Linked DNA regions of Callithrix jacchus. The protein of the gene in region 1 binds, or shares a complex with, the protein of each later gene. Links are inferred from orthologs where the notes say so. Each region holds a gene or a part of one and is shown in the gene's direction. Other genes may lie near its edges.

Region 1 (4,278 bases):
TCAGGGAGAGAAAACCCAAAAAGCTCCAAAGAGTGCTCTTAAACTTGTTCTTTCACCTACAAACTGACAAAGGGAAAAAAGTGAGAGAGATGGTAAGAAAGGGACAGAGTTGTCTCTAAGATTTGGGAAGGTGGAGTAATTCCTTTAGGCCCCTTGCTTTGGGTATATCGTGGAAAATGTTATGATTTTGGTTCCAGGCAGAACTGGCTTGACACCAATACAGCCTGAGTGAGTTGAGGGCCAAAGGAAAGCTTTGTGAAGGAGGTGATAACTAACTAGAATCTTTATGGGAGAAAAGGAATCAACCAGGGGAGCAGAAGACAGTCTCCTCCAGAGAACAGCACGGGAAAGACCCTGAGACGACAGAATATACCTTGGGAACTGCAGGGAGGAATCTGCAAGGGCCAGTTTCCTCATCAGTAACACCGGATTCGTAAAAATACCCTGTCGGGGAGTACGATGTGATATCTGGAAAGCGCCTACTGCAGTTCCTGGCACCAAGCACAACGCCCCAGACCCTTCCTAAAGCAACCAGGCCGGGGAGAGCGATTTGGTTCCACCCGTTCCCCGGAGCCTAGGTCTTCGGGGCTTCTATTACCAAGTCAGACTGTCTATATACTTCCTACAAGCTGCTTTTTAAATTCAGGGAGGGCAGATCAAACAGCCTCCTTTGCCTCCAGTAACACTGAGCCCTTAGGAAGCATCTTAGAAAAGAGAGAGGAAGGAAGGAAAGGACTGGCGAGCCGGTGAGGGTGGGGACTTGCTCTGCACTCAACATCTGCTGCCCAGCTCACACCATGAGGAAGAGGCCCCTACAGCAGAAAAGACAGATGACAGGAGCAGCCCCGAAGCCACCAGCAATTTCAGTAATGGAAAAACGTCCCCATCCCAATCCTTGACCCCCAGTCTCCCAGCCAAGCCCTCGCTCCGGGAGAGATGCGTTCTCTTCAGAGAAACACTGAGAATTCTCAGCTTCCGGAGACAGCGAGTCCCTCGTTTCGGGGGGGGTGTCCCTGGCCACTTGGTGGTGCCATCCCTCCCCCGCGACTAAGCGGGATGTGGGACGCGTGCAGGAGCCGGGATTTGGGGGTCCGGGTCGATGATACTAGGGAAACAGAGACTGCGGTGGAGCAGGAGGCGGAGATTGGAGCTACGGAAAAGGTCGCTACAGGGGGCGGGGTGAATGCTGAAAGACACCGAGTGAGGAGCACTGAGATTACCCGCCGGAGCTCAAGGCCCCGCATTCCGGGGGTGTGGAGCCTGGAGCTAACCTAGGAGTCTCCGGCTGCCAGCAGTGCCGCAGGACTGAGAAGATCCCCCCAAATCTCTTCAATGAGCCCCCACCTCCTCGAGTCCCGCTCAGGCCGGTGGAGCAGCCAATTGCCTCGCGGGGCGGGGCCGCGGAGAGCATCTGTAGCCAATAGTGGCGGAGGAGGCGGGCCTGGCTCCCGGCGCGCGGCTGTGTGGTCTCCCCGGGCAGAGCAAGCTGAACCCTGAGGGGAGCCGCTGACCAGCTTCATGGAGGACCTCGCCGCGCCTGGGAACGGAGTCCCGCCCGCCAATGGCAACGGCAACGGCGGCGGCAAAGGGAAGCAGGCGGCGCCCAAGGGCCGCGAAGCGTTCCGAAGCCAGCGGCGGGAGTCAGAGGTGAGGAGCCCCCGAGCTTCGGTTGGGGCCCGGAGACGCCCGCGGGCGGGAAGCAGCGGCTGAGGCGATTCGGCCTTGGCCCCGGAGCCCTCGGCGCGCTTCGTCAGCCCCACGCAGTGTGCGCCTGCGGGGTCCCCGCTGCTGGACACTGGGCTCTGCAGCCCCGACCCTCGTCCGCACGTCTCCTGCCGCGGATTGGGGTCTTTCTAGCCCTGTGGCCTCCCCTCGATGCACGAAGATGAGGGCTACGTTGAACGGACCAAATACTTTACAAATATTTATCTCACTTAATCGCTGCAGCTCCTTGAAGCAGAAATTCCGATCCCGGTTTATAGATGGGGGAGCGGGAGCGGAGAGGTTAAGTGACCGGCTTGAGGGGTGGGAGGCCGGAGCTCAGCTGCGGGAAGGCCGGGTTGGCGAGTGGGGCAGCCGCCCTCCCCCTCCCGCGCTGCCTGCGGCGGGCCCCGGGGCCGGTCCGCATTGGCCGGGGGACTTCTGCCCGCCGCCTGCTTGCCCGCTTCTCCCTGCAAGTCTTAGGCGGCTTCGGGAGCGCCTTTCGCGGACATCAGGCCCCCTGCCTGTGAGGGCTGAGCGAGGCGGGATTCCGCAGCCCAGGGGTCGCTATCTGGCGGGAGCAGTCCCAGCATACAGATAGGAGTAGGAGGATTTCCATCTCTTCCTCCTCTCCTAAAGAACAAATCCTGTCTCGGAAGATGAAAGCATCGAATTATGCACACTCCCCTACCCCCTCATCTAGGAGCGGGGATCAGAATAGACGACAGAATGTCACATGTGGCGGGGTCTGCAGAGATCATCTGCTATGGCCCTTTCATTTTACAGACCTAAAAGGAACGGGAGTGACTTGCCAAAGATCAGACATCTGGCACAGTTTGTGGTCAGGAACACCAGGCTTTGGAGTCAGTCAGACCAGGTTTTGAATCCCAGCCCTATCATTTACTACCTGTGCGATTACCCAACCCCTCTGAGCTCTGGTTTCTGCATCTGTAAAATGAAATTAACACTGCCTGCCTCAGAAGGTTGTGATAAAGTGAAAATGAGATAATTGACTATAAACTTTTTGGCACAGTGCAGCCACAATGCATGTAATTGGTCAGCACATAGTAACTCTTAGTATATTATTGTCATCATCATCATCATCAAGTGGTAGAGCTGGTTCTAGAAGCCAGGTCTTTGGCAGCCCAGATCTTGCCTTACCATTTGAATAGCATTTCAGTTTCCAAAGTGATTTCATGTATGCTTCCCATTTTGATGTAGGCAGAGTAGGAGGAATCCATTCTTTTTTTTTTTTTTTTAAGGTAGAAGTGGAGGTAAAAAGACCAGCTCAAAGTCATCATCTTGCAGAGGCAGAGCGCAGCCCTCCTGTCTTGCTAGATTATATCCACCACATCATCTCCCTCCCTACCTCAAGATGAGTCTGGTCTTTTAGGGCACCCTGGACCTCCTTCCCCTACAGAGACATTGTTCTCACTCAAATGTTTTTTGGGGAGATGAGCCATTCATTAATTCAACAATTATTTATCGAGGACTTTCTATCTGCCAGCCACTGTTTTAGATGTTAGGGATGCATCAGGGAACAACATAGGGTCTTTGGCTGTGGAGAGACAAATTGTGAGCAAATAAAATAATTTCAGAATGATATGTTCTATGGGGGAATAAAAGTCTCTCCCTGGATGTCCCTTCTAAAGTTGCAATCTGTTCCCCGCCTGTCAAGTCTTCTTCAGGCAAAGGCTCTGATAGTGTGGTCTTTTGCCAGTACTTTGCAGTGTCCAGAGACTTAAAAGCTTTCCACCTGCACTGCAGTTTACCTGCTGATCGGCTGCAGCTGCACTCTTCATGCCTGGAAATGAACAACTGCAGCGATCATCTCTGGCTGGGCTCATTGCCTGCCAAAAGCCTGGCTGGAAAGATTAACTTTCCTCTACCTTCTGCTGCAGCAGAACTCTTTTTACCTGCCAGTGCCTCCTCTATCACCACAGTACCCAGATGCGAGATCTGCTTTTCTTCTCTCCCTCTTTTTTGCTTTCCTGTGAAAGGCAGTCCTTAGAGGAGATAGGTGTTTTTTTTTCCCCCTCTCTAGGGCTTTTAGAAAATCACTAGAAGAGAATTACTGAGGCACAAGTCAAGAGAGTCTCATCATGTATCACTGTTTATGGGAACACCGTTGACCTACCTTCTCCCAGTGGCTTAGCCTGTGAACATCCCAACCTAAAAAGAAAGCTAAAGAGTAATTGTTTGCTTAATAAGAAGAGTCCTAACCTAACAAAAGGATTCACCTCAGGCCTCTTTTAGCCAGATCTAGTTTATTGATCTCAAACTCCTTGACAGAGTTTTAACTGGTCTGTGGTAAAATGTGGAAAATTCGGGTCATCAAAGTGAGTTTTTGTAAAAATTTAGTTCAATATATTAATTTAAGGATGTACACAATTTAAAACAATGTTTTTGAAACTGCTATGGGGGCAACCTGTTGAGGCTAAAATTTTTATTTTAAGAGATAACCCAGCATGATGACTCATGCTTATTATCACAACACTTTGGGAGGCTAAGGCAGGAGGATAGCTTTAGCTCAGGAATTCGAGACCAGCCTGGGAAATGTAGGCAGACCCCGTCTCT
Region 2 (4,161 bases), on another chromosome or scaffold:
CCTGCCCAGCCTTTGCCACAGCGGTCATCTGTGCGCTGTCTTTTAAACAGAACAGTTTTATTTATCGGAAGTTATTCCTGCTCTCTTACCCTTCATCAGTGAAACCCAGAATGACAAGGACTTTAAGACTGGTGGCGCATGCCTGTAGTCCCAGCTACTGAGGAGGCTGAGGCAGGAGAATTGCTTGAACCCAGGAGGCGGAGGTTGCGGTGAGCCGAGATTGCGCCATTGCACTCCAGCCTGGGTAACAAGAGTGAAACTCCACCTCAAAAAAAAAAAAAAAGAAAGAAAAAGACTGGTGTTGAATTGTATTCAGATCTTAAGCAATTTCTGTGACCTCCCAATTTCTTTAAACTTTCATGTTTCTTTTTTTAGCTTAAAAAAAAAATGAGTTAACATTTTTTCTTGAATGCTTTCTCTTTTTTTTATATTTTCATTTTGTTGGTTTTCCTTATGGAAAGAATTGTTTACAAGTCATGCGGTAATTACGGTATTTGGTGTAATGTAATGCAGGATGTTTCATCTAATATAGAAAGACATTTGCTGCTTTTTAGCTTCTTTATTATTATCCGTATTGATTTAGGGTAATGGATTTGAGTTGTCTAATCACTGACTTTGAGCAGCCGGGAATAAGCTTAAAATCATCTTCCTGAAGCCAAGTCTGGCATTTTTTGATCTGCACATGTGTACATTAGAAATTGCGATGTTGGAGCTCTGCTTTTCCCACAGTGTGCATCTGTGAGACAGGCTCATTGTTAGCAACAGGGACAGTGCAGAAAACACAGATAAGAGAAAAACGTACTGTTAGCATTTCAGTGTACATCATTCCACCTTTTTCTTTGGATGTGTAAATAAGTAACCCTGTCCCCCAACCAAAAGGGGACCAATTCCTGTAATTTTACATTGATGTTTACCTAGGGAGTTTGCAGCTTTAAAAAAATTTTTGGAAAATTTTGATGGACCTATGAATCTTTCCACTTGTCTTATTATTTCTCTAGTAGAAACTGACCGGAAGGGGGGTTTTGCCTTTTACTTATTTTCATTTTCTGATCACTTTTACATCTTTTTAGTGCTTCTACTCTTAGGTAATACAGTTTTCTTTATGTCATTGTTTTCTACTTTTTGCTGCTTTTAATATGAGGTTTATTAGTGATTTTTATTACCTTCATCTCTAGCTGTGTTAATGCTTTTTGGAGATTTTAAAAAAAGGATTATCTGGATTGTCTGTAATTTCTTTGAGTTGAGAGCAGTATTTTTCTGAAATGTTTCCCCTCTCCCTTGGGAATTTGGAAATATTTTCCTTTTGTTTTCTTTTTTACCACTGCCTTTCCTCCACTCGTCAGCGTGGATTCCTTTGGCTTAGGAGGGGACCTGCCATGGGCCGGGCGTGGGGTGAGCGCGGAGGGGCGGGAGCACTGCCTCCTGGGGCAGGTGGCTCTGTCCTCTTCTTTCTCTCCAGCCTGCCCTGCCTTCTGCCTGTGGGCTGTGCCAGCGCCTGCTCTTCTCCGAGGGATGAGATACTCCAGGGGCCTGTGCCACTCCCGGTGGCACCCTCGCATGCTCCCCAGGTGAGGGGTGAGGGCCCAGTTGCCTGGGGCCCACAGCGAAAAGCTGGCCTCTCTACTAGGAAGCCTTCCTGGTTAGGGAAGTGGAGATGCCCTCGTGGACCAGGCCTGCTGGGTGCCTCTGGATCTGCAATTGGGTTCCCACAGGAATGGTACCTGCCATCTCAGCCCCACGTGCCAAGAAAAGGACCTCAGTTTCCCAGCCGCCTGCCCCCTTGCAGGCCTAGGGTCCTGATGTGTTCTCAGTTCTCCCCTCAGCCTGGAGCAGAGGTCAGTGCCTGGCTATGTTACCTGTGGGTTCCGGTTCCGGTAGTTCCTACATTTATTGCAGATGGACTTTTCTTCTCACGCTCCTTCGTTTATTAACGTCAGTGTGGGCCAGAGCAGCCTAACATAATGCGCCTTTCATTTGATGGCTTTTACTGGAAGCCTCTTCATAGCTATTTTTAAACCTGGTGTCCACTAACGTGACTCCAAATTACAGCCAGGATTCTCATACTTGCCAATTTACATTGTGTGGTGTTCTTATGAAGCCTAAGATCAAAAAAGACCCAGAAGTGAAATCAAGTTTCTTTTGTATAGTATGTGGCTTACGCATGTGTTTGACTGAGTCTGCTGGGTACGGAGTCGTGGACGGCAGCTTCTGGTAGCAATCATTCAATTGAAGCCATTGATGACCCACACTGCATCTGCAGGCTGGTAGCTCCTGTCTCACAGTTCGGGGGTGTCCTGCATCCTGTCGTAGTTCTCCGCCATCCTTGGGGGCCAGTTGGGAGTAGAGGGCTTCCGGGCCACACTGTGGGGTCTCCTGTTGCTGCCTCCCCTGCATTCTCTGTCTCTATGCAGCGATAAGATGGCGTCTTCGGGTCTACACCCACCCTTGCCTCACCTGCTGCTTCTCAGCTGCTGTCAGTGGAGCCCAGCTGTTGGACCTTTCGTAGCCTGTGCCTTTATCACGCACCAGAATGTCCTGAGATCAGGACTGAGGCTCCCTGTGAGAGGTGCGGTTTGGGTGGGCCGGGAATTTGGGGCAGCTGTGTTTGTGCTTGGAGGCCTTTTTTTATTTTTGCTTGGTGCTTCTGGAGGATTGAGATTTCTCAGATCTGAGCACAGAATCAAAGTTGAGTTGTGCTTGAATCATTGAGAGAGCTAGAGTTAAGTAAATGTATGCAGACTTCCTGTTGGGTCCAGCTGGGGAGCGCATTTGTTGCATTTGGTTTGCCCTTCAAGTGTTTAGTTATCTTTTTTTTTTTTTTTTTGCTGGGGGTGGGAACAACTCCGTAGGGCACTTGGGTAGATAGGATTTTACCGAAGCTGTGAACTTTGGAGGATGGCATCACTGGTCTTCTCCTCCCAGCTGGAGCACAGCCTCAGCCTCTCTCCTGTGCCCCGGCCTTTGCAGGCACCTCTAGGCCCCGGGGGCTCCCGCACTTGGCCGGCTGCTGTTTTCTGCTACAAGGAGGGGTGAGTCTGAGACTTTGTACTCTGTCCCATTGTCTCCACAAATCTACCTGTTCCTGTCAGGCCGTGCGTTCTGGTGTTGAGTTTGGAAATGATGGGATCTGGATTTCAGCTGACCTCTTGCAGACATACATGGTGAGTGTTGGTACTTGGACGTGTAGATAGAAAAAGTAGGGTAAAAGACAAACTCATAAAAAGTAGAGTCCACCGTTAGCCTTTTAGGGGCTGTGGTCTGTTTTACTTCCCATCGCTTTCACTCCAGGAACAAGGGACTAATAGGGAAAGGAACCTAGGAGCCGGAAACTGAGCATTTATTAGGCGCAGCCCTGTGATGTTAAGGCGTCTGTTAATCTGAAGTGCGTGAACTACCTTATAGGTCTGGGAAGCCATTCATATTTATATGCTAGTTTCCTGAAAAACAGAAAGGGCTGCATGAGTATTTGGGGTTACTGTGTTATCACTTGAGTTGACTCCTGAGTTTTTGAGGCTGGCCCTGTTCTGGTTACCCCCATCAGTAAAAGGCAGGGCTGGGAGGAAGTCGGAACCAACCAACTGGAGAGAGAGAGAGGGGGAGAGAGGGAGGGGGAGGGAGAGAGGGGGAGGGGGGAGAGAGAGAGTGTGTTTGTGTGTGTGTGTGTGTGTGTGTGTGTGTGTGTGTGTATATATACGCGAACGGAGGATGAATGTATTGTTTTTCCCTTAACAGACAAGAGAGTTGGCTAGAACGGTCCCCACTCAGCAATATTTATTTAGGTTTGCACACCTTCCAAAATGTTACTTATTTAAGTCCCATTTACAATACTTAAAAATGGCTGGCATACCAGTCAGTGCTGGGGTCGGTGGAGTGTGGTGCCAAGAAAATATTAAATCATGAGAGCTGATTACCATGCCCAGAAAATAATGCAGTCTTGTGAATGACCTTTGTCTTCAAGCCAGGATAAGAAATGAGTTATAAACGGTCCGTGGTTAAAGTCCCAGTGGGTCCTTGGAGAACAGCAAGTGGAGATGGAACGAGCAGCCTTTGACTCACTTGTGTTCTGTGTCCTTTGATCTGTGCCAAGGAAGACATCATACTTAGCAAGGATTGCTTTGAAACGCACGGTTTTATTTTCTCAGCTAAATATCGTAGCAGCAG
Region 3 (3,500 bases), on another chromosome or scaffold:
GGGTTCATTTCAGATCATGGAATACCTACATCAGTTGACTTTATAGGCTGTGATCCAGCTCATATGGTAACCTCTTTCAACACTGGTAGTGCAGTAATTTATGATTTGGAAACTTCACAGTCATTGGTGATACTTTCATCACAGGTAGATTCTGGTAAGTGTTCGTGGAGTTTGTTTGAAACCTTGAAAAGGATTATTATACAATAGAGAGTGATCTTTTAGCTAATTTTCACATTTTGACTACTTAAATTTAGGATGGCAAAATTGTTTCATAATGTTACAGTTATATTATTTCTGCTTTCTTCAAATTGTGCTTAAAAGCTTGGGTGTACATAAGAGAAAAGAGGAATGACTAGAGCAATATGAAGGTGAAAATAGAGAAAATAACATAATGAACCTGACATATTCATAATTCAGCTTAAATACTTGTCTATAAATGTCCAGTATTGTACATGCAGTATATGGTGTGTGTTTTAGAGTTTATTTAGATAGGATCACATAAGATTTATGTATTGCGATTGGTTGATAGGTCTTTCAGGTCTCTCTTTATCCATGGATTCCCTTTGCTCTCTTTTATATTCCTTTTTTTTAATTGAAGAAATTGGCTAGTTTGTCCTGTCAAGTTTCCCACAGTCTAGATTTTGCTAGTTGTATCCCTGCGTTAGTTAACGTGCTTCTCTATTTCCTGTGAATTAATTGTAGATCTAGAGACTTATTCAAATTCAGATTCACTGGTTCTTTTCCCCTTTTTAAAATTTTAAAATGTTTTTGGCAACTCTACTTCATAAGTAATTTGTGAGCTTTTATCAGAAGTAAGTATTTTCTGGTTGTGTATGTTTTTGTGATGCTTTCAGTCTTGATTATTGCCTGGGTTCATTAATTCATTTTCTACCGAAAAATGATTTCCTAATTTTATTATTCCCTCTCCATTTATTAGCTAGATTATTCCTATAAAAAGGAACATCTCCTTATCAGTAATTTGGTTATCTTGGGGTTAGTGTGTATTAAGGAAAGGCAAGGTAAATGATTGGGTTTTGGTTTTCACCTTTATTTACCAGTTTTCAAAATAATGAGGTGGTTTGCTAGCACCCTCTACAGGTGACCAGTTTGTCTTGCGTGTTGTTTTTGGTATCATGGTACTGTCTCATGGATGTAAATGTATTTGATGTGTTTGAATTCATTGCAGGTATAATTTTTATCCCTGCTCAGATCCTTTCATTTTGGCCAGTGGGGCTAATTCAGTGGGGCTCAGGTTGGCTCCTCAGTCCTTTTGCCATGACCCTGGTAGTTGTTGGTAGCTTACTGATATGACATATGACAAGATGTTTTAGGTTCATCTTGTTCATTTTGTGCCCCCAGATCTGAAATCAGCTCTTTATCTAAGGAGTTGTGGTTTCTTTGAGTGGGAAATGGCATTTAGAGACTACAGTTGGGGTGCTAGGCTGTTGCGTTGATCCTCATGGTCTTCATGGCTCCTGCGTTGTTCATTAAGTTAGGGTTTTTCAATGGACAGAGCTAGTAAATAAGCATTTTTTAAAAAGTAAAATACCTCCACTTCAAATTCAGATTTATTTTGGTTCTCAACACAATTGTTTCTCATTTGATTTATCCCACAGTATACACAGAGTCGTCTCAATAATAATACCGTTACCACCAAAAGACTGACTATTGATAATAAAACTTTGTACTTAACTATGTTCCACTAGGGATATACAGTCTAATTACTGTGCTTTAAAGTCATTGGAAGTTTCTTCCTTTGTAGCTATACCACCAGTTGGATATACTAAAGTTCGTTTGTTTAATTTTATTTTTGATTTTCATTAATTTGTTTTAGAAAAACAACTGTCAGCTGGGTGCATTAGCTCATACTTCTAATCCCACCACTTTGGGAGGCCAAGGCAGGAAGATAGCTTGAGGCTGGGAGCAGAGACCAGCATGGGTGGCTGAGTGCAGTGGCTCACACCTATAATTCCAGCACTTTGGGAGGCCGAGGCGGGCGGATCACAAAGTCAGTAGATCGAGACCCTCCTGGCCAACACGGTGAAACCCTGTCTCTATTAAAAATACAAAAACTTAGCCAGTCGTGGTGGTGCGTGCCTATAGTCCCAGCTATTCGGGTTGCTGAAGCAGTTGAATCACTTGAACTTGGGTGGTGGAGGTTGCGGTGAGCCGAAATTTCACCACTGCCCTCCAGCCCGGGCAACAGAGCAAGACTCCGTCTCAAAAAGAAAAAAAAAAAAAAAAGTTTAAAAAAAGAAAAAAAAAAATAGATCGAGACCAGCCTGGGCAACATAGTGAGACCTCATCTCTACCAAAAACTTAAAAAATTAGGTGGGCATGTTGATAGTGCCTGCAGTCCTAGCTTTGGAGACTGAGGCAGAAGAAGCACTTGAGCTCAGGAATTCAAGGTTACCATGAGCTATGATTGCATCACTGCACTCCAACCTAGGTGACAGAGTGAGAGACCTTGTTTCTTAAAAAAAAAATTGTTTTATAATTATGTAAGATATTTACATGGTGCCATGGTCAGATCTTAAACCAAAATTATTTTCTAAGGTCTCTGTCCCAGTATCTCCTCAAACCTTTTTTTAAAAAATTACCCTACATAGGTAACTATAACTCTCTGTGTGTGTGTGTGTAGATATATATTTTATGCGTTTAGGTGTATGAGTTGCGGTACACATATAGAATGATCTAAAGTCTATTAATATTGAAGATTTTTCTCTAATTTATTTGTTTTGATATTTCTCTGTTCTCCATCTTTAATTAAAAAGTAACAGCTTACTGGTTGAAAAAATCTCATCTTTAAAGAGCGTTAATTCAGTTTTTTGTCTTTTTTTGTTTTTGTCAGTGTAGGTAGGATGGGGATTGTTCCTTATAAACGTCTGACTAGCAGTTATGAATGTTTTCCTTCTTTAAAGGCTTATAATTATTTTATGGCCGGGTGTGGTGGCTCACGCCTGTAATTCCAGCACTTTGGGAGGCCGAAGTGGGTGGATCACAAGGTCAAGAGATTGAGACCCTCCTGGCCAACATGGTGAAACCCCATCTCTACTAAAAATATAAAAATTAGCTGGGCCTGATGGTGCGTGCCTGTAGTCCCAGCTACTCAGGAGGCTGAGGCAGGAGAATTTCTTGAACCTGGGAGGCAGAGGTTGCAGTGAGCCGAGATCGCGCCACTGCACTCCAGACTGGCGCCTGGCGACGAAGCAAGACTGTCTTAAAAAATAAATAAATAAAAATAAAAATTATTTTATGGACTCTTTATTAGACGTAATAATTGTAGATCTTTTAAAAATTCTAAACTACCTATAATAAAGAGCTGCATTAAAACACTGCTCATTTTTTCTAAACTTGAGCCTAGTACAGTCTGTATTATAGGACGTGATAATGTAAATACTTATTTTTTTTTTAATCTAGAGTCATTGTTCTCAGATATTTTGTTTTATGCAAAAGGTTTGGTTTTTAATTATTTGTATATTGGAGCATGATTAAAAAGG
Region 4 (3,500 bases), on another chromosome or scaffold:
GGTGGAGTTAGCTGGGCCAGGCTGGACGGAGTTGGGGCTTTCTTTTTGGGGCAACTAAGAGCTAACTAGGGAAGTGACCAGACTGCCACTTCCATTCAACATCTGTCCTCCTGCTTTCTGCCACCTTTTTTTTTTTTTTCTGAGACAGAGTTTTGCTCTATGGCCCAGGCTGGAGTGCAGTGGCGTGATCTTGGCTCACTGCAACCTCTGCCCCACAGGTTCAGGTGATTCTCATGCCTCAGTCTTCTGAGTAGCTAGCATTAGGTGTGTACACCTATATCCGGCTAATTTTTATATTTTTGGTAGAGACTGGGTTTCACCATATTGGCCAGGCTGGTCTCAAACTCCTGACCTCAGGCGATAACGCTTGCCTCCCAGAGTGCTGGGATTACAGGCGTGAGCCTCCACGCCCGGCTCTGCCTCCTCTTTTGATCATGCATCTGGCCCTGTGCTCCATCTTGTCCGGGCAGAGTTCAGAGGTCTTTGTCTGCTTTCAAGGGGAGGACATGTTAGAGAACAGGCTCACCTGCACAAGGTCAGGGGTCAGTCCCAGACATATTGGCCACCACACCTTCGGTGTCAGCAGGCCAGAGCTGCCAGCATGGACTTCAGCAACCAGGGAGGCAGTGGTTGGACCTCTGAACCACTAGGGGGCTTTGGAGAGACCAAGTGAGGCTCAGGCACTGGGCCGTGGGCTGAAAAGACTGCACAGGCCGGAGCTGGGGCGGACCCTCAGCCAGTACAGGCTGTGTGCCGCTTGTGGGGGCACAGAACCACACTGTTCCTTTTTTCTTAATGGAGACTGAAAAAATTCTGAATTGAGCTTCCAGTTTCTGGGCCCTGCTTGGGGGGACAGCCGTGAATGGAGGGAAATCCCTGCCTTCGGGAGCCTTAGAACCTTCCTTAGAGAGCTAGCGGGCAGTGTGAGCAGCTTCTGTGCTGTCCTGGTGGTGGACAGTTCTGAGGGGCACCAGGGCGTGAAGCGGGTGCACAGGTGATTCGAGCCCAGCCACCTGGGGCTTGGCAGAACTGGGGCTCCAGGCTGTCCAGGGAGGAGCTGGCAGTCCTGACACAGCCCATTTCCTCCCTGCGGTGGGTGCAGACCCAAGCGTGCTGAGCCACGTCCTGGAGGGCCACGGCGATGCCGTGTGGGGCCTGGCCTTCAGTTCTGCCTCCCAGCGCCTGGCCTCCTGCTCCGCCGATGGCACCGTCCGCATCTGGGACCCCAGCAGCAGCAGCCCGACCTGCCTCTGCACCTTCCCCACAACCAGCGGTGAGTGGAGGCTACACCTCACCCTGGAGCTCTACGGGGCTGGAGGCTGTCAGGGTGGTTCCCGCTGAGGCCCCAGGCCTCCCACCCACAGTCCCCCACCCTGGGGCAGGGCTGGATCTGAGGGTCCCTTCAGCAGCCCTCTCTCCCCTGTGCCCTCAGAACACGGGGTCCCCACCTCAGTGGCCTTTACCAGCACCGAGCCTGCCCACATCGTGGCCTCCTTCCGCTCTGGCGACACCGTCTTGTATGACCTGGAGGCTGGCAGTGCTCTCCTCACACTGGAGTCCCGGGGCAGCAGCGGTAAGCGGGCCGACAGCAGCTCATGGAATTGCTCTGTGTCTTCCGGGCCCCACTTCCTCCTGGGGCTTTGATGACCCTCTTGCCAGTCAGCTCAGATGACTCCCCTGCACCCTCGGGCCCTGAGCAGGAAGGAAGTCGAGTCCTGGTGCAGGGCCCCCACCTTCACAGCCAGGGCACTTGGGGGGCCAGGTGGGGAGAGTGTATCAGGGACACCCTATTGGGCCCTCTTGGTAGAGTAGTGGAATTTCATGTTTGTTACTATTCTTCCCCCAGCTCCAGGATGGCCCAGGGGCTCCTTGTGCAGACCCAGCACTGAGGTCAGGGATGGGAGTGGCCTTGCCCAGCCCCTCTCGACATCCAGGCAGAGGCTGGTGTAGGGCTGTCATGCTGCACTTGTGCCTCCGTCCTGGTCTTCCTGATCTTCCCCTTGACATCCTTCTCACCCTGCTTTTCCTTCAGGTCCAACCCAGATCAACCAAGTGGCGAGTCACCCAAACCAGCCTCTCACTATCACCGCCCACGACGACAGGGGCATCCGCTTCCTGGACAATCGGACAGGTGAAGTCCAGCCCATTGTGTTCGTGGAGGGTGGGGAGTGCCAGGGGCAGGCGTCAGAGACGCTCGAGTCCCGGTGGGAGGCCCTGGGAGGGTCTCCTCCAGGTCTTTCCCTCTCCCAGGGAGGCCCAGAGTGGGAGGGGAACCTGCCACCCACCCCCTCTCACCTCAGGTAAACCGGTGCACTCCATGGTTGCACACCTGGACGCAGTCACCTGCCTAGCCGTGGACCCCAATGGCGTATTCCTGATGTCAGGAAGTAAGCTGGGCACACTAGGCCCACTGGGGTTGGGGAGAAGGGGAGGAAGAAGCCTGGGCACTGGCCTCAGGCAAGTGCTCAGGGGGCTTGGGGGCCAGGACTGAAGGAAGCCGGTTTGGGTGAAATGACAGGAGATACGGGGCAGCACAGCACTCCGGGATCAGCTCCCTGGGGCACTGGAGCTGCATCATCTCATTTGGCCTCTAAACAACCTGCACGGTTGGTACTTTTATCTCCAGTTTACAGATGTGGCCCTGACCCTTTGTAACTTGGCGTCAGGGCCTCGTAGCATTGCTCCAGGTCTGCCTGGCCAGTCCCCGCAGGGACTTATGTTCTCCTACCCTCCGTCTCTGGATAAGGGCATCCAGGGCAGCAACAGGCTGTGCTTAGAAGGGATGGAGCGGGATGTGGGTGGGTGGAGAAGGGGGCTGGAGCTTGCTGTGGGGTGAAGGGCAAGGCCTGCCTGGTAAGGCCTGCAGTAGGTGCAGGCATGAGTGCGTGTGCGTGCATAGAGGCGCAGGCCATGGTGATGGAAGCTGTGGCTGGTTCTGCCTCCAGGCCTGTGCTGGCAGCCTCTGGTGGGTGAGGGGCTGGTCGGTGAGGGGCTGGTCAGTGAGATCCAGCCCAGTGCAGAGATTAGTACAGGGTCCGGGTCCCCACAGACAGGCCTCAATTCTGGGGACTGCTAGACAGTGGAAGAAGCTGAGCCTTTGCCCTGCCTAGTCTTCCTGACCCTAAACCGGACGTCTCCTCACCAGGGCCCTGCTCAGGCTCTTGTGGCTACCCCTGCCTCCTGCCTTGGGACCTTCCCCATCTGTTCTGCCTGGAAGGCTCCCTGCATTCCTCCTGGGGCCATTCTGTCCTCACACTGACCCCTGGGTTGCTTTCTTCATTTCCTGTCTTAGCTGCAGCCTCAGTGCTGCTGGGCAGGGAGAGTTGCCTGTTTTGTTCGCTCCCCGCCCCTGGGGCTCAGTGTGCAGTAGCTGCTCAGGAAATGCTGGGGGATGAGATGGACCATGGACAGGAGGGGATGGGGGTTCTCCTTTGGGTGGGCCTCAGGAGGTGATGGGCAGAGGGTGAGGGAGAGGAGAGTTGAGCCCTACTTCCCCGGAG
Region 5 (3,977 bases), on another chromosome or scaffold:
ACACAGAAAGCACTTAGCAGTCTCTGGCACAAAGAAGATGACATCCATTAATGATAACGATATTGATAAGAATCATATATTATTCTCTGAAAAAGATGTAAAAGGAAGAAGAGAAACTACTATTTACCACTAGAGGCCCCCCACCGTGTGGTGGTTAGAGACCCAAAACAAACTTCAAAGTAAAGAACTTCATTTTAAACTGGCATTCGACTATTACGTTTTTAAAAAGTAATTAACCCCTTATGTGTTCCCAAAGGTGCCTTCATAATGAAATTCCTGTTGCTATTATTACCAGTGTTACTGTCGCTGTTAGAGTACTCTCAAAAGAGCCTGTCTCCCTCCCGCAGTGGAACTTAAAATGCGGCGGAGGCAGGGAGTTACCAAAATCGCTGCTGTGTATGCCGAATTCAACAACCTGTACTGCTGACGATCCAATCTCATTTCCCAAGCCTCTACTATCCTCATTAACTTTTCTGCTGATATAACATCTGCTTTCCATTTTCCCTCTGCCTTTACACGTGCAGAACTTGTGGTAGAGAGAAGCCCCAGTTTGGCCGTCCTGCAAGTGATAGCCAAAGAGGTAGGGGGAACCTTAGGTTAGAAGTCATCTGAACCATGTCTGGGGTCGGGGAACTCGTAAAGCTTGAGTGTGGCTACTGGTCTGCCCAGAGGAGCAGCCCCCAGCTGAGGAGGCCAGATGGCGGGAAAAAGCGGGGGCCGCCGACTCCGCGGCTGTGATCCCGCCCTAGGCCAGGCCGGGGAGCCAAGAAAGACTTCCAACACTCCCAAGTTTCAACTCAAGTCGTCTCCGAGGGTGCGTGTGCCCCAGCCTCGCACGCCCGCCTGCAACAAGGTCGCATCTAGGACGCCCTCATACCCTCAGGGTTTCCCAAACTCTTCCATTCTCTTCCCAGGCCCAGCCGTGTTCCAGGTCTCCCGTTCGCCGGGTTCTCCTCACCCCATGCCGGGAGAGTCTCCAGCTTCTCAGACTCCAGCAACCCCAGCCAAACCCCTTCGCTGCCTGGAGCCTTGGCTCCCGCGACACCGCCCGGCTGCGGGGCGGGGGCAGGGCCAACGGCGGAACCGCCCCCAGCCGCCTCCCGGGCCAGGCAAGCAGGCGGGTGGCTGGGACGCCTCCACCTCCTCTTCCTAAAGCGGCGAGGCGCAGAGGAGCGGCATCACTCGAGCCCAGGTCCCAGCCACCACCACTCACAGCGCTCGGCGTTCAGGAAGAGGAGCAGCAGCGGAGGCGGCTGCTTCAGTGGCGGGCGGGCGCCAGAAAGGTAGACTGAGTCCCAGGGAGCCCCGCCGCGAACAACCCACCTCCCAGCCCGGGCTACGCGCCTCCAGCCCAGTAACCCCACTTCTGTGTGTCCTTCCAGGCCCCTAACGACAAGCCTGGGAGGGCCGCCGAACTACCCCTGGAGGAGGAGCCAGTCCGAACTCAAGGCGCTACCGCCGCAGAAGCGGAGCGAGGCTACAGTCGCCTCCATGGCCCACTCACCAGTGGCTGTCCAAGTGCCTGGGATGCAGGTGAGGAAGCGCAGGCCGCCCCCCGCCGCCCACGTGACTGCTTGGGAGCCCGGAGCGCTCTCGGTGCTGGGCACCGACGACAAGGGACGGCCCCGGGACTCCCCTGAGGGCTGGGCCGGTCACTCTGGCCAGGTGACCTGGGAGTAGGGCTTGAGGTGTTTCCTGGTGTGTAGGCTAGGTGGTGCTCTTCGCTGGGAAGGCGAGGCGGGACTGGAGCGCGCAACTAGGTGGGGATTGAGGGCGGCTGTGGGGTATAAAAATAGGCCAGAGCCACAGACACCTGCGCCTGTGGAGCTTGGCACGGTTGGGGATGGGAGGGGGGGAGAACTTAACCTGCGAGACATGAAAGTGCCTTGGAAGTTGTGGGGTAAAACGCGAGTAGTGAGTGCCCTACAACCCCCACCCCAAACACGCACTCAAGCTGGGGCGGGGCAAGACCAGGGGTGTCGGCGGCAGCTTGAATTGGGCTCTTCCTGTGTGCGTAGGGCTGAGAGAGAGAGGTGACCTCTTTCTCCCTTTCGGTACTGCTGCTTAAGGGCAAAGTTGTATCTGGCTCCCCGACCTGGCCCAGCCCATAGCGTGGAGCGAGAAATGTTGGTCCTGTTCAGAGTCGCTGAAGTGATGAGTTCCCAGCCCCCCTCCGTGCCTTTCCCACGAGATGACTTACATGTGGTTAAAGTAAGCATATTGTCCTGGACAAGGGACTACTGCATGGGACCCAACTTCTTACTCAAAGTCTACCCAGCCCAACCCCCTCCCATTATATTTTCATTTTATTAAAGGTAAGCCATGTTGGAAAACTTCTCATGCTGTTATGTTTTTAAATCGGTGCACTTTAGGCTATCTGCTAAATGTTATCCAAATCTACCAACTTTTTAAAGTATTCACTTTTTTTCCCTTTGCTAGATAGCCCAAACAACCCATTTATGAATAGTTTAGAGGCTAAAAACAAGAAAGCCTCAGTCTCTCATGATCTAAAAATGTGAAAACAAACTTTTTTCAAGTTCAGAAATAAAATGTTTAGAGTAGCAAATAGCTTATATTTACTGTAGACTTGGGCCTCAATTTACTTATTAGCAGTGTTCTCATTTTATGCATGCCCACAAAAGTGATTTTAAAATTATTTCCCAGAAAGGGATCATTTGTGCACCTAGAACTCCTGGTGTGTCCTAAACATCAGACATTTCAGCTGCATTTAGGGCAAGTCTGGGTTGAGTCTCAGGAAGTTAGTGTATATTAAAGAGAGAGAAAGGGAAATAGGAAATAGTAGGGCTTAAGAAAAAAAAAAGATTAATCCATTCAAGCCTTGCAAAATGTCTCAGACTTTCTTCCTCTCAGGCGGCCTCCCCTCTCTTCCCCCCCCTTTTCCCCACACACCCTGTCCCACACCCCATTCATTCAGTTCTGCCTTTGATTGTATCAAGGGAATTCATAGTTTGCAATACTAAGTACAGTTTTGCCGTCGGATCTGGGAAAAAGTGACATTTTCCCACCGTGCTCTTCTTTCCGTTCTATGGAGAGTGGAACGATGCACACGTGAAGTTTGTCTCTGAGGGTCTCCATGCTTCTCGCTCCATTGTGTGCGTGAGCCTGCGTGTGTGCGTCAGCAGAGTGAGTGCCTCCCGTTCTCAAGTTTGTGATTCTGGGGAACTCTGTGTGCTAAGGAGAAAATAGTTTCCGATCTTTACTTTATTTGTCTTGACCTTATTGAATTTATATGGTTTAGGAACTGCTTACTGTTCAGTATTTCTAAGTGCTGTTCCCTGCTTTGTTTAAAGATCTGAGTTGCCTATCTCTTGAATATTTACATCTTAATTAATGTGGATTCGAATGTGAATCACATACTTTAAATTACAAACTCTGCCTTTCACTGCTGTCTGAATTCTGATTACTTTGTCCCATCTAATCTGAGTAGGGCAAACATCTCAATGTTAGCAGAGAAGAGAGGAATTATTATTATTTTTATTTTTTGGTCATTCTCTTCATCTTAATGAAATGGTAAATTCTTCTTATTTCCATTTTCTTTCTAAATGTACTTCTTAAGCACTTTGTGCAACACATAGTTTTTTCCATAGTTGAAATTGTACAATACCCTAATAATAAATGTGAGAGCACGCAGTGTGACTCTTGAACCTAGACTATTTCTGTTATTGTTATATAGCAAAATATTGCGGATGAGATGCAGAAATTCGTTGCAAGCTTGTAAAATGCTCCTAGAGTTTTATGAAAGCCTTAGGAGCAACTTTTAGATTTTTAGAAAACTTGAGTTAGCCATGTGTTCTTGAAATTACTGTATGGTGTTTCCACAAATCAGGGTGAGGTGACCGGCCAGCCTATAACTTTTTAACAGTTTATTTTAGAGAATTATGAAGATTGATGGGAAAAACGATTTTTCCAGAAATAAAAACAAAATTATCCACAATTTTTTTCTCCCTCTGAGGAGA
Region 6 (2,831 bases), on another chromosome or scaffold:
GCTCCCGGGCCTGCCCGTGTTCTCTGGGTTCCCAGGGTGACTTATCTTCTTTGAGTGCAAACGCAGTTGACTCTTCTATAGAGAAAGTGGAGAAGGTGTAGTTGGGGTCCGTCACAGGGCAGGACCTCCCTGCTTAGTCATGTGACGCTACATCCACGTCACCTCCTCATGGGCAGTCAGCACTATCCCCAGAAATGTGATGCAGCCAGGATCTCTGCCCACGGCTTGGCCAGTGGGCTTGGGCGCAGGTGTGCCCTCCAGGAGCCCCATTGGAGCCTGGGAGGGAGGATGAAGGATGTTGGTGAGAGGTGGTGACAGCAGAGCCTGCCTGAGGATGGCAGAGGGTGCAGCATAGTCCAGGGACATTGGCCCCAGGTCAGCGGGAAGCAGCCACTCAGGCCCAGGTCCTGGGCAGCCTACGGATCTAGTCACAGTTCCCAGAGGGTGGGCGATACCCGGTGACAGGGGCTGGTGTCCTGATGGCGGTCAGATCTGGGGTGTGTGTCAGTGGCCTGGTCATGCAGTGAGCTCTGGGAGTTTCTGGGCTTCATGTTTTTTTGGGTCTGATTGGACCCATTCAGTGGCTTCCATGACCCTCAGCGGGGAGGAAGCCATCTGGTCTCCTCCTGACAACCGAGGCCTGAAACTCCCTGGAGTGCAGACGGAGGGTAGGGGGTGTGGGGAAGGACCAGTAGGGTTCCCATTGGCAGGGTGGGGGCAGAGGCGTCCTTGGGCCGCCTTCCTGGCTTGCTGAAGGGCTCCTGGATGTGGGTGTTAGGCGAAGGCCCTGAAGGCCTCTAGCACAACTCTGGCCCAGCAAAGAGGCGGGCTGTCCTGGGGTCCTCGGTCAGGCATGCCTGGTCTCTCCACAGCTCAAAGAGAAGCACAAGCAGAGCGGCGGGAGCGTGGGCGCGCTGGAGGAGCTAGAGAACGCCTTCAGCCTGGCCGAGGAGTCCTGCCCCGGCATCTCGGACAAGCTGATGGTGCACCTGGTGGAGCGAGTGCAGAGGTGAGGGCGGCCCTGCCCTGGGGTCGGGAGAGCGTCCCCACCAAGAAGCAGCTGGATGTGGGGGGAGGTCCAGCAGTCACTTGTGGGCGTGGCTGCATTTGGCACTGTGTGGGTCCACTTCTCTCTGGGAAAGGGTGGCGTGGCATCCTCTTTCTTGTTTGGACGCAGCTCTCAGGGCTGGGAGCCTTTGGGGCTGGCCACAGTGGGAAGGGCCTTTCCGGTCTTAGTGTCTCAGGGACCTGGCCTCAGTGGCCACACGGCCGTCCTCGGCTGGCCTCTGCCTCTCCACCTGGTGGCTCCCAGGAGCTGCTCTGACACGCTAGTAGCGAAACATCAGAGCTGCCCCTGTGCTGGCTCGAGTCAGCAAGGGACAGGGCAGGACAGATACTGGGTCCCCCACCGCCCACTGGGCTTAGGGTCCAGCCACCGCGCCGCTGGCAGATGCACCAAGTCCTGGCCCACACACAGTGACCCCTTCCTGGCACCCCTGGGCAGCAGCTCTCAGGGTGGGTCTGGGCCAGTCAGTGCTGCTCCTGAGACCCTGTGCAGTGGCTTGTCAGGGCTGCCACTGCAGACTGCACACCCAAGAGGCCTTCAGGAGCCTGGGCACAGAGGTAGACGCACAGCGGTGGGCTCTCTCTCTGCAGGTTTTCACACAACAGAAACCACCTGACATCTACCCGCTGAAGCACACTGCTGTTCAGAGAGGGGACAGAAGGTCCTTTGTTTTGTTCTGAGCTCCGTAATAACTGTGCTGACTTGGAAGGTGCCCCATGCTGTGTCGTGCCTGCAGGGACACATCAGATCCTGTGGGCCTCACCTGCCAGGTCACCGTCTCCTACCCCTGCACTGTGCTGTCCTGCACGTCAGGGGATGCTGCTCCACGTGCCCACTGCCCCGCTTCCGCTCCTGGCCCAGCAGTAGAGTCCACAGGGGCTCCAGCAGCCGGCAAGGCCCTCGTGAGTTACGCCTGGCTCTTCTGCAGACTCTCACAGCCCCATGGCTGCTCAGACCAAGGAGCAGAGCAACTATCAGGGCAGCTCTGCCTCCTCCTCCCGTGAGGTGGGGAGAGGCAACGGGGCAGCCCAGAGGAGTGCCCTGGCCACTGTCCTCCTGGGGCCCATCATGGCCACAGATTTGCCCTGTGGTGTTGGATCAGGTACCGTGTCTGCTCATAAGTACTTGTGTCATCCAGAATGTTGTTTTGTTTTTTAAGAAAATGGAATTTACTTGTTTCCTTAATATTCTGAGGTTAATATGTTAGTTTTCATAGAACACTGAGAGGCCCCTGCCACTTTCAATAAAGACCTGACTTGGAGACATGCAGGTGTGTGGCGGGGCCCAGGCCATGCGGGGCTGCTGCGTCCCTGGTCCCGAGTCCTCATCACAGCACGCGGGGACTGCAGCCCAGTCCCCCCTCGGAACTTCCCTGTGACTGATTCCTGGGTTTTGCTGACACTGGAAGGAGAACAGAGCGAGCAGAGGAGTGTGCAGGTGGGGGCAGGTGTTTTTAATCGTCAGACGTGTGAACAAAGCGGTCGCCCATTTACTTCCCACCAGAAGGAATGCTGGGCAGTAATAAATTAGAGGACCCCACCCTCCCAGGGCACAGGGGGACTTTGGCTTCTGCTTCTCCAGAGGTTACGTGGGGAACAGGCGTGGCTTCTGCCAGACTCTTGTGTAGCTGTGACCTGCAGGCCAGGCCCCTGGGGCTGCCAGTTGGTTCACCAGAGGGAAGGTCAGCACGGCTGTGCCACGCTTCTCTGAGAGGGTCCTGGCAGTGGGTGTGCAGGGCACACGCAGGGTCTGCTTTCCAGTGCTT

The links.
Region 2: STRIP2 (region 1) and STK24 share a complex: the UniProt entries of both Homo sapiens proteins name them as parts of the core of STRIPAK complex. The link is inferred for Callithrix jacchus from reciprocal best matches to the Homo sapiens genes STRIP2 and STK24.
Region 3: STRIP2 (region 1) and STRN3 share a complex: the UniProt entries of both Homo sapiens proteins name them as parts of the core of STRIPAK complex. The link is inferred for Callithrix jacchus from reciprocal best matches to the Homo sapiens genes STRIP2 and STRN3.
Region 4: STRIP2 (region 1) and STRN4 share a complex: the UniProt entries of both Homo sapiens proteins name them as parts of the core of STRIPAK complex. The link is inferred for Callithrix jacchus from reciprocal best matches to the Homo sapiens genes STRIP2 and STRN4.
Region 5: STRIP2 (region 1) and STK26 share a complex: the UniProt entries of both Homo sapiens proteins name them as parts of the core of STRIPAK complex. The link is inferred for Callithrix jacchus from reciprocal best matches to the Homo sapiens genes STRIP2 and STK26.
Region 6: STRIP2 (region 1) and STK25 share a complex: the UniProt entries of both Homo sapiens proteins name them as parts of the core of STRIPAK complex. The link is inferred for Callithrix jacchus from reciprocal best matches to the Homo sapiens genes STRIP2 and STK25.

What each region holds. Positions count from the first base shown.
Region 1 is NC_133512.1:117,765,271-117,769,548, reverse strand, and holds the start of STRIP2 (striatin-interacting protein 2), read left to right. Parts: upstream 1-1,478; 5' UTR 1,479-1,518; coding exon 1,519-1,647; intron 1,648-4,278. UniProt on the Homo sapiens protein: Plays a role in the regulation of cell morphology and cytoskeletal organization. Required in the control of cell shape. Calmodulin-binding scaffolding protein which is the center of the striatin-interacting phosphatase and kinase (STRIPAK) complexes.
Region 2 is NC_133502.1:14,261,882-14,266,042, reverse strand, and holds the start of STK24 (serine/threonine-protein kinase 24), read left to right. Parts: upstream 1-1,361; 5' UTR 1,362-1,376; coding exon 1,377-1,835; intron 1,836-3,143; exon of another isoform or gene 3,144-3,158; coding exon of another isoform or gene 3,159-3,161; intron 3,162-4,161. UniProt on the Homo sapiens protein: Serine/threonine-protein kinase that acts on both serine and threonine residues and promotes apoptosis in response to stress stimuli and caspase activation.
Region 3 is NC_133509.1:65,326,295-65,329,794, reverse strand, and holds part of STRN3 (striatin-3), read left to right. Parts: intron 1-13; coding exon 14-154; intron 155-3,500. UniProt on the Homo sapiens protein: Calmodulin-binding scaffolding protein which is the center of the striatin-interacting phosphatase and kinase (STRIPAK) complexes.
Region 4 is NC_133523.1:40,701,306-40,704,805, reverse strand, and holds part of STRN4 (striatin-4), read left to right. Parts: intron 1-1,102; coding exon 1,103-1,273; intron 1,274-1,432; coding exon 1,433-1,573; intron 1,574-2,032; coding exon 2,033-2,131; intron 2,132-2,300; coding exon 2,301-2,387; intron 2,388-3,500. UniProt on the Homo sapiens protein: Calmodulin-binding scaffolding protein which is the center of the striatin-interacting phosphatase and kinase (STRIPAK) complexes.
Region 5 is NC_133524.1:127,582,772-127,586,748, forward strand, and holds the start of STK26 (serine/threonine-protein kinase 26), read left to right. Parts: upstream 1-1,177; 5' UTR 1,178-1,283; intron 1,284-1,382; 5' UTR 1,383-1,491; coding exon 1,492-1,533; intron 1,534-3,977. UniProt on the Homo sapiens protein: Serine/threonine-protein kinase that acts as a mediator of cell growth. Modulates apoptosis. In association with STK24 negatively regulates Golgi reorientation in polarized cell migration upon RHO activation.
Region 6 is NC_133507.1:162,776,919-162,779,749, reverse strand, and holds the end of STK25 (serine/threonine-protein kinase 25), read left to right. Parts: intron 1-872; coding exon 873-1,009; intron 1,010-1,656; coding exon 1,657-1,696; 3' UTR 1,697-2,331; downstream 2,332-2,831. UniProt on the Homo sapiens protein: Oxidant stress-activated serine/threonine kinase that may play a role in the response to environmental stress.